2 linked regions of the Oreochromis niloticus genome follow. The protein of the gene in region 2 purifies or fractionates together with the protein of the main gene of each other region. This does not show direct contact. Links are inferred from orthologs where the notes say so. Each region holds a gene or a part of one and is shown on either strand. Other genes may lie near its edges.

Region 1 (7,677 bases), on a different chromosome or scaffold from region 2:
TATGTTCTCTGTTTGTGTTTACATTTATTTCATAATTAAAGCAAATGTTGAATGTATTAGTTTAAAAAATTGTAACTATTCTGTCATGTCTGATGCTTTATAAGAGCTTTCTTAACATTTTCTTTTTTGTTTTGTAGTTTTAGGAAATATATATAATGTAACTAAAAAAAAAACAGGGGGATATAGGAATTTAGAAATCTGATAGGACAGCTGCATCATCCATTGATAAGGTGAGAGTGTCTGCCTTTAATGTAATCTCAGATTTTGAGAGTGCAGCCCAGTTACACCTAGCTGAAGTGCATGCTAAAGGCCATCTGGAAGAAAAGGGTATAGTGGCTGCCATGGAGACAGTCCAAACACAGAGATCTGGAACAGTAGAGCAGTACAGCCAACAGCAGGAGCTCACCACCATTTCCTTGGAGGAGAAGAAAATTCTGCTCTGTCTGGATCGACTCAACCACCAGCTTCAATGTAAGCACTTTGTGAAGGCCGTTAAAATCAGGCCAGAATTTTTCTGACCTGTGTATGACAGAAGAGTATCAACATGATGTCGGTGCAGCGTAACCACGCCAACCTGTTACTATTTGCAGGTGTGCAGGAGCGTGTTGGGGGCAATACTAGCATGCATGGTCTTGTACTTAGTGATGCACCCTATGTAAGTATTTAGCAGGGATTTATTTCTTTCCTCAACAGAAAGGGTGACTTTGTTGAAGATAATTCATTCCTTAACTTCTGTCTCCATTTTCAGACAAGAGAAGTGAAAGCATCAAACCATAACAAACACTGTGGATCCTCAGCTAACAATCACTCTCGATACCACAAGAAGTCCTGACTTGAAGCTTGTGTTCGCCACAGCAGTCTTGAGCCCTCATCGGTGCACATTATGCTGAAACATGTTGTTGAAACAAGCACTTATTACCCCGCAAAAGGAATTTTTACAAAGTGTGTCTTTTCAAGTAACTAAGGATCTGAAATATAAACAGCCTTGAATTGCAAAGACAAAAAAACCCCATATCAGCAGCCTTAGAGCGCACGTAGCACATGGTCATAAAAGAAAAACAATTTTAAGATACTGATTATCAAGCAATTTAAGTCTGAAGTGCCTATGTAAATGAGAAAGGCTTTAATCTGTTTTTATGTTAAAAAATGCAAAGATGCTCTTGTTTCAATCAACACATGACCAGCCCTGACTACAAAATATACAAACACTATCAAATTGTATATGTTAAATGTTTAAAGTTGCACCACTCTGTATTTATTTTGTATAGTAACACTATGATTTGCTGGACTGTTTTGCAACTATATCAGCAGTGAAGTGAATAAATCTTGTTGTCAGTTTGCTGATAAACTCTGTGTTTGGCAGTGTTACAATCAGTGAATTGACCAAGGCCTGGAAATGGTTTATGAAAAGACGTTTTGCAGCGTTGAAGGTGTGTTCGTCTTTCTTTTATGGCTGTGGAACAGATGATTATGGCTACTAGACTCAACCTACTGGCTCAGCAAGCCAAGCCTCTACCAAAGAGGTTTCCACAGGTTTCTCTTAAGATTGCACCTATGCTGAATTTTATTTTTGCTTTAAGGCTTAATTTATTTAATATTGCCCTCAATCTATAGCAACATCAAAAGACAAAGGATGGTATTATTTGATACTAGTTGTTGTTTAAAGTGTATTTAATTAAAAACTTCTCTGTCTTCCTCGGCAAACAATAGGTGCATTGGGGGAAGACGCTGTAGGGATTATTGATGTGAGCTGCCCCTCCTTCTCCGGCGTGTCTGGGTTTGTCCCTCTGTCAGCCTGCTAGGACTTGTTCCAAGAGCTGAAGGAAGCCCAAGCTCATCTGAACAATGATGGGACTTTTTTATAGCTTAACTGCAGGTTTCTTTGGTGCTCCAAGAAGGAGCTATAAACAGTAATGTGACAATGGTGTCTCATTGCCACATCGAGTCGTGCATCACCTCCTTGTTAGCTTACACCAAACCTGAGAACAGCAACAGAGGGAGACAATGTATTCATTTTTAGCATATGATTATGCCCACAACAGCAGACGCACTTTGACTCATTATATGTGAAGAGATTCTCCAGTGAAACATACAAATTGTCCAATGTGGTTAATTGACAATGAGCATCAGTGTTATTTCTACCCAGTGTGCATGAGACGATTATAAAGGGAAGAAAACTACTTTTATCTGAACTGATGAATGCTGATATTTAACATATTTGAGTCCTACCTATTAACAAGAAACTGTCTAGTAATAATACTTGGACTGCCCCAATAAAAAACAACAACAACATAGGCACGCACACAAATAAACACAATCATGTAGATTAAGTGTTCATGTTCAGATAAATCACTGAAATTCTGAATATTCTGCTGTAGGTTTGCCCTGAAATCAGTTCCGTTTGGCTTGGCACCATTATTGTTCACAGTCATTATGCTATACAATGGTGAGTGTAATGAGCTTTAAGCCTTAACCAGCACAACACCCAGAAACTGAACAAGAAAAGGCAAGAGTGCTGAAAATAAGGGGAGACATTTTCACAGATGCAAGTTCAAACTTGTGCTTTGGTCTGTTGTGAAGCTTAAGCTGTCAAGTATTTTGTCTTCTTTTGTTACAGTCCATTTAACACGCAATGAATGAGTGTCTGGAAAAGCAATATTGCATGCAACGAAAAATGACTGAAACAAACCTTGACTTCTGAATCTGAATATCTTTTGTAATCAAACAATATGCACATGGATGGGAGGTTGGAAATTAAGCTTTACATGTTTAGATCAAATTTGTAATGATAACAATGGCTTAAAAGCTCAGAAAATGAGTGATAGCTAAGATTTATGCATAAAACTGAAAGACTGTAGACAATAAAAAACGTTAAAGTTGACATGCAGTATATCATTTTCATTTATTATTGACTGTATTGTACGTGGTTAGTTCATGTTTAAAGGAAGTCAGAAAGGAAGGGATAGACGCTGCAATAGTTTGGGATAAATACCGATTGTACACTGCAGGGGGCGTGCGAGCCTTCTACTCACTTGACTATAGCAACGGTGTGTCAACATATCTGTAATAGCCAAACAGAAGAGCAAAGCGCTTTACACAAAGTGGACTCATGCAGCTACACTGTAGATCACAGGTTGATTCTGGTTTATAGCGGCCATATAATCGTTTCTAGTAATATCCAATCGAGAGCAGTGAGGAGGATGGAAGGCTGACAAAAAGTGACCAAACTCGGCGTGGTGGGTGGTCCTCTTGGCGCTGCCGGGACACTGCAGTCCATCTCTTTAATGTGTCTGACTGCGTTACAATGATGTAAAAATGGCCACTTTCATTGAAACAATTGCCATTTTTTGACTGGCAGCATGTGTGCAAAGACTGTTTCCTTCATTCATCAAATTAGAGCGACTTTTAAAACAATAATCAAGTATTTCACATATATTAAAAGTTTTCTCACTGTCAGTATTTTACTAATCATTTATTAGACACATCGAAGTTTAGCAGGACAAACATGAATTCCTATCAGTACACTAGTATGGTGGATTACAGCGATGTTAAATGTTTCTAAGATTTTGAAGGTACAGCTTTGTTAAAAAGTATTATCTGTCCAAAAGCATGTGGCTTGTGACTATCAGTCTGTTAAGGAGGTTTACAGTGTCTGTGGATATTTAATAGATCTTCATAATGATGCATTCAGTGGATGTATGGGAAAAGCTGAAACAGAGCCTCTATATCCAAAGAGGGTGGATCTTGACAAAATGATTTCTCAATGGGAGAGGGGCCGCATTAGCATAACAATTGTGGGAACTGCATGGGTCTACTTTTCATGAGCACTGTAACAAAAAAAAGAGAGTGAGAGAAAGACAAAACTGTACTATTACACATAGTGATGATAGTTTTTTTTTTGTTATCTTTGCTCAGATTCTTGGAAAAGTGTTTATCTATATTGTGTCATAATGCTATAAATAAATCCTGCAAAGAAAAATGTGATCTGCCAGTGTTGCTTTAGTCAGATTTTCCGTTTGCAAATGCAATTTATTGTAAGTTATTATGAGCTTTAAGTTCAATATGAATTTGATTTTCGTTTTCTTATTTGTCCTTTAATTTCTTGTTTTTACACTAGAAAACTTTGGTAACTTTGAAAAAAAAAAAACATGTACAAAGTTGTACAAGAAAATGTCACTTTATAGCATCAAATTTGAGTTTAATTTGGTTACATTGCTGTGTTCATTCATTTTCAGTGCATCTGCAAGTTAGTTTAATGAAACTTCCTATATAGTAGTTTCTTTTTCTACGCTGCATTCAGATTTGGGCTAGCAAATGGGCCATAATTTATAAGGTGTTGCCCTGATTGTCCAGTCGAAGATTACATAAACTGTAAAGGATATTACAGTTCCATTTGCTGTCAAAATAAGTAGATGTTAACTTTAAAAGTTGTGACATGTTTTATCAAAAACGTATCTTTTGGCACATAATATTTTACTTTTAATTTCACACGTTATTTAAATTGGGGAAGGTGCCCGCTAATAAAGGGCTTGGCTTTTTCACAGTCTACCTTTAAACGCTCTTGTCCCAATCGGAGCCGTAAGTCCCGCCCTTTATTGGTCATTACGTCACTGGCGTCATAAAGTTTGATGTCTCCTCTCCAAAGTTTAGATCCGACTGGGGCTAAACTTTTTTTTTTTTTTTCTAGAAAGTGAGCTGCGGAGATTTGTACTGCTCACTATGAGCCTTGCTTAAAAGAATATCAACAACAGCTTGGACTTGGCCCGACACTCAGAAAAAGTTGGACTCTTTCACTCAACCGTTTGTGGTGTTTTTTCGTCTTTTGTGGCTGCATCTGCGTTTTTTGGGGGGACGAGAGCATAAATTCCAATGTGGAGTTTATGCGCTTTGTTACGTTAACAAGTATGCCAGCAGGAAACAACAGGAAAAGGCTGTCTTTCATTGCAGATTTCGACAGCTAACACACTTTGGAAGAATATCAAGTGCTCGACTTGTAAAGTTTAGAATGACTCCGAATAACTTTTACTGAGTGTCGTCGAGATTTTCAGATTTCTCCCGGCGTGGAAAAAAAAGTTTGGGATTGACTCACGTTTATTTTTTAACTTCCGAAGCCTAACTTTTTTGGGACATAAAGTTCGAAGACTGTTTTGGGACAATGGATCCGAGCCAGCACAACCCTCCTGCCGGACACCAAATCGTCCATGTACGGGGCGACTCTGAGACTGACCTAGAGGCGCTTTTTAACGCCGTGATGAACCCGAAAGTCAATACCGTGCCCCACTCTGTGCCCATGAGGATGAGGAAACTGCCAGACTCCTTCTTCAAACCACCAGAACCAAAGTCTCATTCCAGACAAGTAAGCCCGCCCTGGTTTTTACTGTGCCCGTACTCAGAAATCACGACTAAAAATCAGGGCCCATCTTGTCGAGCTTCGGCCTTCTGGAGCTACGTGACTGGCACTTAGTTAATAGTTACTTCATCCTTCTTCAGTGCCATTTTTAGCCTTCAGCGTTATTGTTTTATTGGTCAGTCATCTTTGAACACACTTTTTTTTTTAAAGTCTTTAAGATATAATAACTTTATTCAGGCGGACTCGTATTGACATGCTTAAATGAGTGTGCATTTCCATTGATGGGTTGTTTTTTTCCCCCCCTCAAATTTCTATTTAACACATTGCACAGCAAAAAAACAAAACAAAACATTAAAACAGTAAAGGCCGTGAGGGCTTTATAAAACGGCGGAAACATTCTCTTACAGTCTTTGGCCGTAAGTAACCAAGAAAACCGATGAATATTGCTTAGCTTAGAATAAATTGTGAATAGATAAGTGACCATGTAAAAACAATAAGGGATGGTTTGGTTAATAATTCATGTATAGCTATTTGCAGACGGATAACCGTCATGTTCGCATCATCTTAAATTTTCTTTCTAATCCGACTTTTTTATGTAAACAACTTGATTTGCTGACAGGAAATCATATGATGGTTAAATTATCCTATATTCACCCACAGCCCCTCCCCGATCCCTTCTTCCATTTCCAGCACTTCCAAGTTACCGGTCGCTCCCCATAACGCTGAGGATTTTTTGTACTAGTGCGCATGCGTGTTGGTGGCGGGCCCTGGATGCCTCCCACACCCGAATAAGTCAAAAACATGCCTTCACATGCACATGAATAGAATTTATATACACTTTAAAGTGATTATGAATTATAAGGAGTGACTCAAATATTAAATGGGTAGAAATTATTTAGACTACTACACAAGGTCATTAAATTAAGACTGTTCTGTTTTTCGTTTCTTAATCCATTATTGCACTTGTATTTGAAACGAACAAAGCCACATATATTTTTTTTATTCTTTCATAAATGTTTAGTTTGTGTTTACATTTTCGTATTGCCTTTTTTAATTATTACATGATAATTGATGTTTTGAAGTAAGGATTTTCACTCAAACTCCCCACAGAAAACTGACTCAGCTCTTGTTGTCTCTCAACCCCAACACAGGCCAGCACCGATGCTGGGAGTGGCGGAGTGCTCATCCCTCACCATGTCCGTGCACACTCATCCCCTGCTTCCTTGCAGTTAGGAGCTGTTTCTGGTGGCTCACTGTCTGGCATGGGCTCAACAGGGGCCTCTCCTCAACATCTTCGTCAGTCTTCTTATGAGATTCCTGATGACATGCCCCTACCAGATGGGTGGGAGATGGCCAAGACTGCCTCTGGCCAGAGATACTTCCTCAAGTATGTATGCTGCCATGAAGTGCATCATACAGTTTGTAAAAGTCTCAAAATGCTTGCAACCTGAAATGTTTTGAAAAGTCAGTGATATTCATTACATTACATTTTAATACCATCACAATCACAGGTTCAAAGTTTTTAGTTTGTCACAATGAAAGTTACCAAAGAATTGGTCTTGTGACAGGTCTCTATAGAGACCTCTGTACTACAAAGCAGGATTTAATCTTATCTGGGTAACTTCTGGATTACCTCTGAAGTTTAACCCTTAACCCTAACCTGCTCCGGAACAGGTTAGGTTCCTGATTAGAGATCAGCAGGTATGAAATCACCGCCTACTGACCAGGCAGTTTGTTGGAAACTGGCATCACCCTTCCTGAAAAATCCCACTGTGGGTAGAGTAGATGGTTTTTCAGTAGTGTCTAAAGTCTTTGTGTTAACCTGTTGAGCATCAGTGATAAATATAAATTCATTCCCATGTTGTCAGCAACAATCTATTCTTTGATAAGTGTTAGTCAGTAATATATGATCCTAAAACAGGACACCTATACTGCACTTTCTAACCTAATTTCAAATTTGTACATAGACTAAGCCTATATTTGAATTCTGTTGTTGTATTTTAACTTAATCTTAAATACTTAAAAGACACAGCAGCTGTAACTGTTTTATGCAAATTTGAAAATGATTGGAATACTTGATAACAGCTCATCAGGTTCTCCAATGTCTTAAGGGGATATTTTTATCGATTAACTCACACAAGTGGCTACACTTTAATAATAGCTTTCTAACCAAAGTGGATACAAATACTTACATCATTTATGTAACCTCTTCATATTTTTCTAATTTTAAAGTTTACTCTTCCTTTGTAAAATCAGCTTCTAGTACACTAATCAGTGTGATTGGTCAGACATTACCAGCACCACCTCTTTCATGTGAACTCACTCGT
Region 2 (7,984 bases):
GCTCTCTCCCCTCACCTCACTGCTGCTCATGGTTCATTATCTGCTGTTACACCGTCCTCTGCTCCTTCCTCTGTTTCAAACTACTCCGCTCCCATTTCTGTTTCCTCCCCTCTCCCCACCAAAATCCCTGCTTGTGAAACTCAAAACAATGCATCTGCTCTCAAACGGGACGCATCCCTCCCATTTATGGGTTTACTCAGGACAGCAGAGGAGACAGTTCAGTTTGTGACCTCTCTACAGTCCCGACGAGGGTTGAACCCCTCTATGGCTGAAACCTTTGGTAGTTATAGTGGCCTGACTCTTCAGGCGGGACCAAATACCAAACCAGCTGGTTTTGTTAGTAGCGAACAGTTGCAGGAGATCCTTCAGGAACTCAACGTGGATGCAATTATGGAAACCACGCTTCGATCTCCCGATCAGGTGCCCAGGATACCTTCTCAGCAAAAGCTGACCAGAGACTCTACACTCTCCCCTCTCTCCCCACGGACACCCTGCTCCCCTCCCTCTCCTGCACTCTTTCGCTACCCTAGCATCTCACCTTACACCATGAGAAAAAGGCGGCGGCCCTTTCACACCTCTAGAGGAGGTTTAGCTTCTCCCTGCTTCTACACAGGCTCTGAGGTTCCTGGCTGTGCAAGAGCAAGAGACACATGTGCGCTCCAAAGTCCAGAAGATATTACTGTGGATGATAACTGTATCCCACATCACAACAGTGACCTTGAAGAGGGAAAGGAGGAGGAGGACGGAAAAGTGCATGAAGTAATGAGAACATGTCAGAGGTGTGTTTCAAGGCTCCCGAGATGTTCGGTCTTGCATTGTGAAGAACAAAACCGTAAAGCTCCAGAGGATGTGGGAGCAGGCGGTGATAACGAGCAGCACCGTAGACACATTCGAGACTCCTGTGGGTATTCGGACTCAGACTCCAGCAGCTCAACAGATTACTGCTACTACCACCGTCCTTACTGTGACTCCTGCCTGCAGCGAGGCTCCCTCCTGTACTCAGACAGCTCCTCAGACTCCTCTGACAGCGAGTATGATGACTACTTGAGCCTCTACCGCTCCCCACGCCCTGTGGTATTCAAAGAAGACCTCAAACCCACCTTCGTATGAACACGTTTACTGCACTTTACACATTTATCCAGTTCCACAACTTGAATGAATATCCTCAGAAAGGTTGCTAAAACTGATGTATTTCTGTGATGGAGGGACATTTGACAGTAGCTTACAGTATAGGAACTTTACATTCCAGAGATTGGTGTTTTTCTGTGTTGCACCATGGGTCACAGTGACTGATTTATAAGACTAAAACTTTTGTAGCTTAAAAACACATGATGCTGTTTACTTTTATAGTTCCTTGTGGCATTATTTGTATTATTTGGATTACTATTTCTACTGTCTGATGAAAACCTTTGACACTTACAGTACTGTGCAAAAGCCTTGAGTTACTCATTTATTTATATTTAGTTTCTTTTAATTCTTTAAGTGGTTCTGAAGGACATTCGCTTTTGGACATTGGCTGCTTTTTCATTCATTTTTACACGAGTCCTTGGGCCTCACCATTTCCAGAGGAATGTTCTTTTTCTGTGTTTGTTTTTTGTTAATCTTTTTAACACTTACCTTTGAATAATTCAAACATAAAAAGTGTTTGATGACAATGATAACAGACAACTTATCAAAAAAAATATTTTAAATTGTATGTTTAGGCACTTTGTTACTAGCAGCCGTTCCAAAATGCACAATTTGTTTCCACTTCTTTAATCCATAAAAAAAATGCCAAAGATAACACATTTTGACAGATATAAAACAGTTTTTGCACCAACAAATTGATTCTCAAAGTGCTATCAGCCCAAGATATTTCTTATGAATCATAGTTTAAGTTTTCCTCAACATATATGTGGGAGATCAGGAGAGAGGTGCAACAGTGAGTGCCTACAGAATGATAAATGCAGAAAAGTACCATCAGCCTTTGATCCACTATATAATACCACCTGGAAGCTTTTGATTGGCAATGACTTCATTTTTCGATGATCCCGAACATACTGCCAAAGCAGTACAAACATAGCTGGATAGAAATGCACACAATGCAACACTATCGGTCAAGGATTGGTCTCCCCAGAGCCCAGACATCAACATTACTGAAGCAATGAGAGATCATCTAAACAGAGAATGAACAAGAAAACTCCAAAGAAGAGTTACTTTTGTCCTTCAAGAAGCCTGGAGAACTATTACTGAAGACTACTTAAAGAAATTACAAGAAAGCTTGCCTAAGAGAGTCCAGCATGTGTTAAAGAATAAAGGCCGTCGTACTTGTACAAACTATGTTTCTTTCCTTATATACTGTATTTCTATTTATGTTTGCACCTATTTCATTTTTTCCCAGCAAAATATTATGAACTGAAAAAATCAGGACTTTTGCACAGAACTGTAGACAGGTGCTTTATTAGTCAACTCATATAAGTTCTCAAAATATACTGACAGAAGAGACACAATAGTGAAAAATGACATAAACAGATGCAACATAAAAGGTTTTCACAGAACAAATGTGCGCTCTATTATCAATTGTGCAATTCTGTATTTATTTCTGTATTTATTTGTTGATGTTTTGGTGCCCAAAATTACTTTATGTTTCTTTTATTATAAACATTCCTTAAAATGTTGTTATGCTCCTTTGCTGAATCTGAGTTTGAATTTACAATGTGCATTCTGTGAATGTGAGTGCTGACGTGATGTTAAATACTAAACCTCACCTTTATATGATTTCCATGTTAAATGCAACATTTTCCCTGAGTTAAAACATTTGCCAGGCTCTACATCACTTTAATCTCCACCATGATTTCATGATTTCACCACATTTTCATGGATTTTCCCGAAACACAGACAAAAGCCTTTTCTCCCTTTTATCTTTCATGTCTCTTTTATGACTTGCCCTTCACTTCCACTCCCTTCTGCTATCTACTCTCTGTCTTTCTCGTATTTTATCCCTCCACTAATGGGGAAATGTGTGTTTGCCGGGGGAGGTGTTGCTATGAAGGCAAAACAGTGTCTTGTGTTACTTCTGCTCAGCTGCCTGCTTTTAAGATGCTGCCGCTCTCTGTTCTGCATATGAACCATTGAAGGCCAGCCTGGGAGAAACTCCCTTTGATACGGAGAATAAAACACACACAGACACACATACACATACACACACCCCTGCATAAAAGATACACTAGCAACTGTATCACTGTGAACAGGGAAAGACTTTCCTGCCCTTTCTGCATTCTGCATATAATATATTTTATTGCCATTTCAGGAAATGCAGCACACATATAATTAGAGTTCAGTACAGTTAGTGACACTCACATGCATTTGCAGAAAAGAACAAGATACACCTTCAGCGATTTTACATCACCAGACAAACATAAACTGCACCATTTCCAACCTTTTTGGTAGTTTGTTAACAATAACTGCTTTATAGATCAGTAATAAATTACAGTTCTAGATTATTTTAAATCTTTTTGACTCAGTGATACAACATTCATTTATTAACACCTCATTCTTCTTCTTTGATCCTTTAGGGGTCGCCACGGTGGATCATCTGCCTCATTCTCACGCTATCCCTATATCCTCCTCCTCACACCAGCCCTCTGCATGTCCTCTGTCACCACAGCCATGAACCTTCTCTGTGATCTTCCTCTTTTTCCTCCAGCCTCGCAGCTCCATCTTTAAAATATATCTATTATCCCTCCTCTGCAAGTGCTCTCATCCTTGTCTCTCTAACTTTGTCTCCAAACCTACCATCAGCTATCATCTTGTAAACCTTCCCTTTCACTCATGCTGCTTTTGTCACAAATCACCCCTGACACTCGTCTCCACCCAGTCCACCCTGCCTGCACTCTCTTCTTCACCTCTCTTGTGCACTGTCCGTTGCTTTGGATTTTTGACCCAGTGTAGTTAAACTAATCCACCTTCACTATCTCTGCTCCTTGCAGCTTCACTATTATTAATGAAAATCGTTCATACATTATGTCAGTTGACAATACAGCCCTCTCAAGGGTAAGAGGAAAGAGAACAGAGAAAGAAGATCATGGAGAGACAAGGACAAAACACAATGGCAGAGAGAAGAAAAAAGTTAATGCCATGCTGTAGTGGTATGTAAATGCAGCTGTAGCATAAAGCGATAAGAGGAGAAGAAATGCTCATTGCATCTTAGCAAGTCCCCCAGCAATATTGCATCATAATCAAGACATGGTTCGGGGTCACCTGATCTAGCCCTACCTATAAGCTTAATAGAAAAAGGGAGAGTTTTAAGCCTAATCTTAAGAGTAAAGAAGGTATCTGCCTCCTCAAACTGGGAGCTGATTCCACAGAGGAGATTGCAAGCTGAAGGTTTTACCTGTTATTCTCCTTTTAGAAACTATATACATCAAAATATCACCAAAAATTAAGTGAAAAAAAACATCAGTCAAAGGAATCTTCAGAGCCAACTGATCCATTAGGTACGACGCCATATTTATTAAATAAATAATAGCAAAAGCTTTGTTTGTCTGGCATCTTACAAACACACAAAAGAGACAGCAGTTTAAATGTGAAATCAGGAGGTACGATGCCAAACATGCAAGATAAGGTTACAATAGAAGGGTGAGACGCGTGCACGCGCACATTATTACATTACTAAGCAGGATGACACTAATTAAAAGGATGTGCCCGAGGGCCGCGTGAGGTAAAAAGTGTTGGGGAGCGATAAAGAAGAGGCTTTTGTATCTAACATAGCAACAGTGCTGCATGACCACCGGTGCTCCGTGTCCGTGACAGCTGGGTCCATTTGAACTGACAGCCCGGCTTCGGCTCTCCATTGGTGGAAGAAGTCATCCATCCCGGGAGCGGGCCCGCCCCTTGTCCCCGACGCGGCACAGGAAAAAAGCCTTTGAAGTCGCGAGGGCGGTGCCGAGCAAATTATGCCATGTGGTGCTCGAGAGCGGCGTTTTTATTGGACGGCGGGAAAATGGTCACCGCCCGTTTTTGAAGGATTCCCTCTCTGATTGGCTCAATCGGCCACCCCAGATTCGCCGTGCGCGCGTTCACAGTTTTCCTATTCTCCCTCGCGAGTTACGTCAGCAGCGTGAACGTCTTTCCGTGACGCCGGAGCGATCCCTCGAACAATTTGCGGAAACGGCGTACCTACCATGCGCAGCGACAAAGACTGCGAGCCTGAAACCTATGGGGAAGGAATAAAAAAAGAAATTCCGTATCGTTGGACTCTGTGCTGAAAGACCAGTATTTTCTGAGGAGCTCACCGGCCTGGGGTCTCGGCAAAGACACCGAAATTTAACCGAGGCAAGGCTGGATTTAGAGTCGGCGTACGGCTAGTGAATTTGCTGAAGAAGACTGTAGCAGCTGGCAGATTTTCCGTTGGACCGTCTGTAGGCTAGGGTATAGCGAGGGAGCCGCCATGGCAGTCGGATCATTGAGCCTCCACATCGGGATATGAAGTGGAACTGCATGTGTTCCGAATCGTTAAGAAAACGCCGCATTTGTCACCGATCCGCACCGGATCAGCATCTGAACTAACCCTTCTTCATCTCCGTGAAAACGATTCCGCACCCCGAAAGAAATTACCGCTGGTTTTTAACCGTGGGGCCACAGGGAGAGGCCAGATTCATGACTATTTTAGTCGGATACGTGTCTTCAAAGGCCCGCTGAAAGAAAACCTGGAGCATAAGGAGGAAACGATGCTCTGATCGACCGTCGGTGGAAAAGAAAAGGGTCATTTAGTGGCGATACAAAGTAGTGTGAAGGATCCTGGGATAAGGGGATCTCTTTCTAGCTGACCTCCCTGAGAATTACAGTGATATTAATTTACTGTCACCCCCCCAACCCCCCTTTTTTGGATTTTTTTTTATTATTATTTTTTATTTTTGATGAGAAGGTTCGGCGAATCGATCAGCTCCGCCGTTTAAGCAAGTCACAGTCGAGAGAATCAAAGGGATCGTCGGATCATGTCGGGTCGGCCCAGGACCACATCCTTCGCAGAGAGCTGCAAGCCAGTGCCGCAGCCTTCAGCTTTCGGCAGCATGAAAGTCAGCAGTAAGTACTCCCGTGTAATTCTAGAGTGGCAGACTTTTCCTGCACGCACCAGGCCCACTGTGGGCTGCATATGCTCGCTTAAGTGTCCTCTCACTAACTAGGCTGGAAATGTGTCAAGTTAGCATACGGTTAGCTCCGGGAAGCTTATCTCTGTCATATATGTGTGTCACAGAGCGAGACTGGAGGCTGCTGAGCGGCACACACTGCTGCTCGCCCCGGTGTGGGCACACAGCGTTACGCGCTCTGTCGCGCCGCCCCGGGCCGGTCAGCCGGAGCAGGGTTAGCAGGCCGCGCCGGGAAGGGCCGGGCCGGGCCATAGGAAGGTAGTGTTGGCACAGGCCCAGGTCAAAACCAAGCCTCCTTCTTCCACCGCAGATCCGGCCTGATTATTGTCCATTTGAATGTAGACTAGATCGCGTAGAGATATTGCCACACAGCACCAATCACATGCGTAATGGAGTTAAAGCGATAGGTCCGGTCTATTACGCAACCGTCAGAGCGGAAGGTGCGCCCGTAGTTGAGTCGGGCGAAACTGACGCGATCCTAAGGGGGGTGGTTTATTAGCCCTGTTTCCACTACTTCCACGGGCCGTGTCGCGACGACCGGAGGGAGTGTGACATCGAGTATCCTGTTCATGAAGCCACGGTGGCACGGTGCCGGAGACCGCTTATAGACTGGCTGCAGAGAGGAAGCCATGCGACTGACTAGGCCTGTCAGCTGAGCAAGTGGCGGGGTGGGGGGCTGGCAATGTTGGTGCTAGACGCCTCTCTTTCGTCTAGTCTATCCATCACCACAACGATCTCAAGGCAAGGCGCACTCGCTCCCATTCGCTCTGTCTATATGCTGAAGATACTACTGCTGTACTGGTTATATTTAATGGCCCAGTTAGAGCTCACTCAGATGAAATAACATCAAATTAACACTAAAAGTCGTTTCATTGAAATTAATTTAGAAGTATGGCATCCTTACTATTAATGAGTATCGACTGTCGTAGATGGACACGTGCACATTTCCTAGTTACACCCCTGTCTTATCTGACACACAGATGGGTGTGGGTGGGGTGGAGTGGGGTTTGGGGGCACGTACCTGTTAAGGAATGCTGACGGAGCCTTAAGGGCTGTGATGTGAGCATGATGTATGTCAGTCGGGTGAGGCCTGAGGCTCAGGCTCATGTCTGGGCCTTGGTGTTGGAAACCGATTAGTGCACTGTGACACACACACTCCAAACCCAAGTCTAATTCTTGTCTTGCCCCAGATGCATGTATAGGTCAGGTCTGCTAAATGTGAGAATTAATTTTTTCAGACAAAAGTTTTGGATCCTCAACTTGATTTCTTTTTCTCTCATAGAGACTCATCTGGTGACTCAGTACGTTATTATCAACTAAAATAATAAGCTGAACCTCTAGTTGCTCAATTAAATAGGTGTTTGATAATCTGATGTCTAACAGCAGGTGGTGTTCATCTCCATGGAGGAAAGTAGAGTGGCTGATTGCTCAGATGTCCCCTATTGTAAAATTTCAGTCTGTGAAGCATTTCATGGAACCAACCCTTCCCAAAGTAATTTCCACCAAAGTAAGCAGCTCTGGCAGCTTCAGGGCCTTCTGTACATCGCAGATTCTGGGCGTGGACATTAGTAAAACATTGGTGAAAATGGTGGGTTATATTCATTTAGACTTTTATAAACGGGAAGGAAACCAGCAATTGTAAAGGTCAGTGGATATATATGCAGAGGGCCTCTTAGCAACACATTGTTGGTAGCAGCATCCAAGCACCCAAACAGAACATTATTAAGTTCCCAATCTTTAACGATCAAGGATGATAGCAAATCTTCATTGTCGATTGTGCTTAATCACTGAGTTTTATTTTTTCTTGTAACAAGCAGCTACATATAATTTACATTTCTTTTTAGTTATTGTTTTAA

What was found. The genes of interacting proteins can lie anywhere in the genome.
Region 1: the proteins of gsk3ba (region 2) and yap1 purify together in Homo sapiens (affinity purification with western blotting; 3 studies listed by BioGRID and IntAct, with this or other methods). This does not show direct contact. The link is inferred for Oreochromis niloticus from reciprocal best matches to the Homo sapiens genes GSK3B and YAP1.

Annotation. Positions count from the first base shown.
Region 1 is NC_031979.2:32,236,317-32,243,993, reverse strand, and holds the start of yap1 (transcriptional coactivator YAP1), read left to right. Parts: upstream 1-4,622; 5' UTR 4,623-5,155; coding exon 5,156-5,356; intron 5,357-6,501; coding exon 6,502-6,737; intron 6,738-7,677. Other genes in the region: cep126 (centrosomal protein of 126 kDa), read left to right, coding at 262-471, 591-655, 749-832. UniProt on the Homo sapiens protein: Transcriptional regulator with dual roles as a coactivator and corepressor. Critical downstream regulatory target in the Hippo signaling pathway, crucial for organ size control and tumor suppression by restricting proliferation and promoting apoptosis.
Region 2 is NC_031987.2:19,718,210-19,726,193, forward strand, and holds the start of gsk3ba (glycogen synthase kinase-3 beta), read left to right. Parts: upstream 1-4,958; 5' UTR 4,959-5,975; coding exon 5,976-6,063; intron 6,064-7,984. Other genes in the region: gpr156 (probable G-protein coupled receptor 156), read left to right, coding at 1-1,110. UniProt on the Homo sapiens protein: Constitutively active protein kinase that acts as a negative regulator in the hormonal control of glucose homeostasis, Wnt signaling and regulation of transcription factors and microtubules, by phosphorylating and inactivating glycogen synthase (GYS1 or GYS2), EIF2B, CTNNB1/beta-catenin, APC, AXIN1, DPYSL2/CRMP2, JUN, NFATC1/NFATC, MAPT/TAU and MACF1.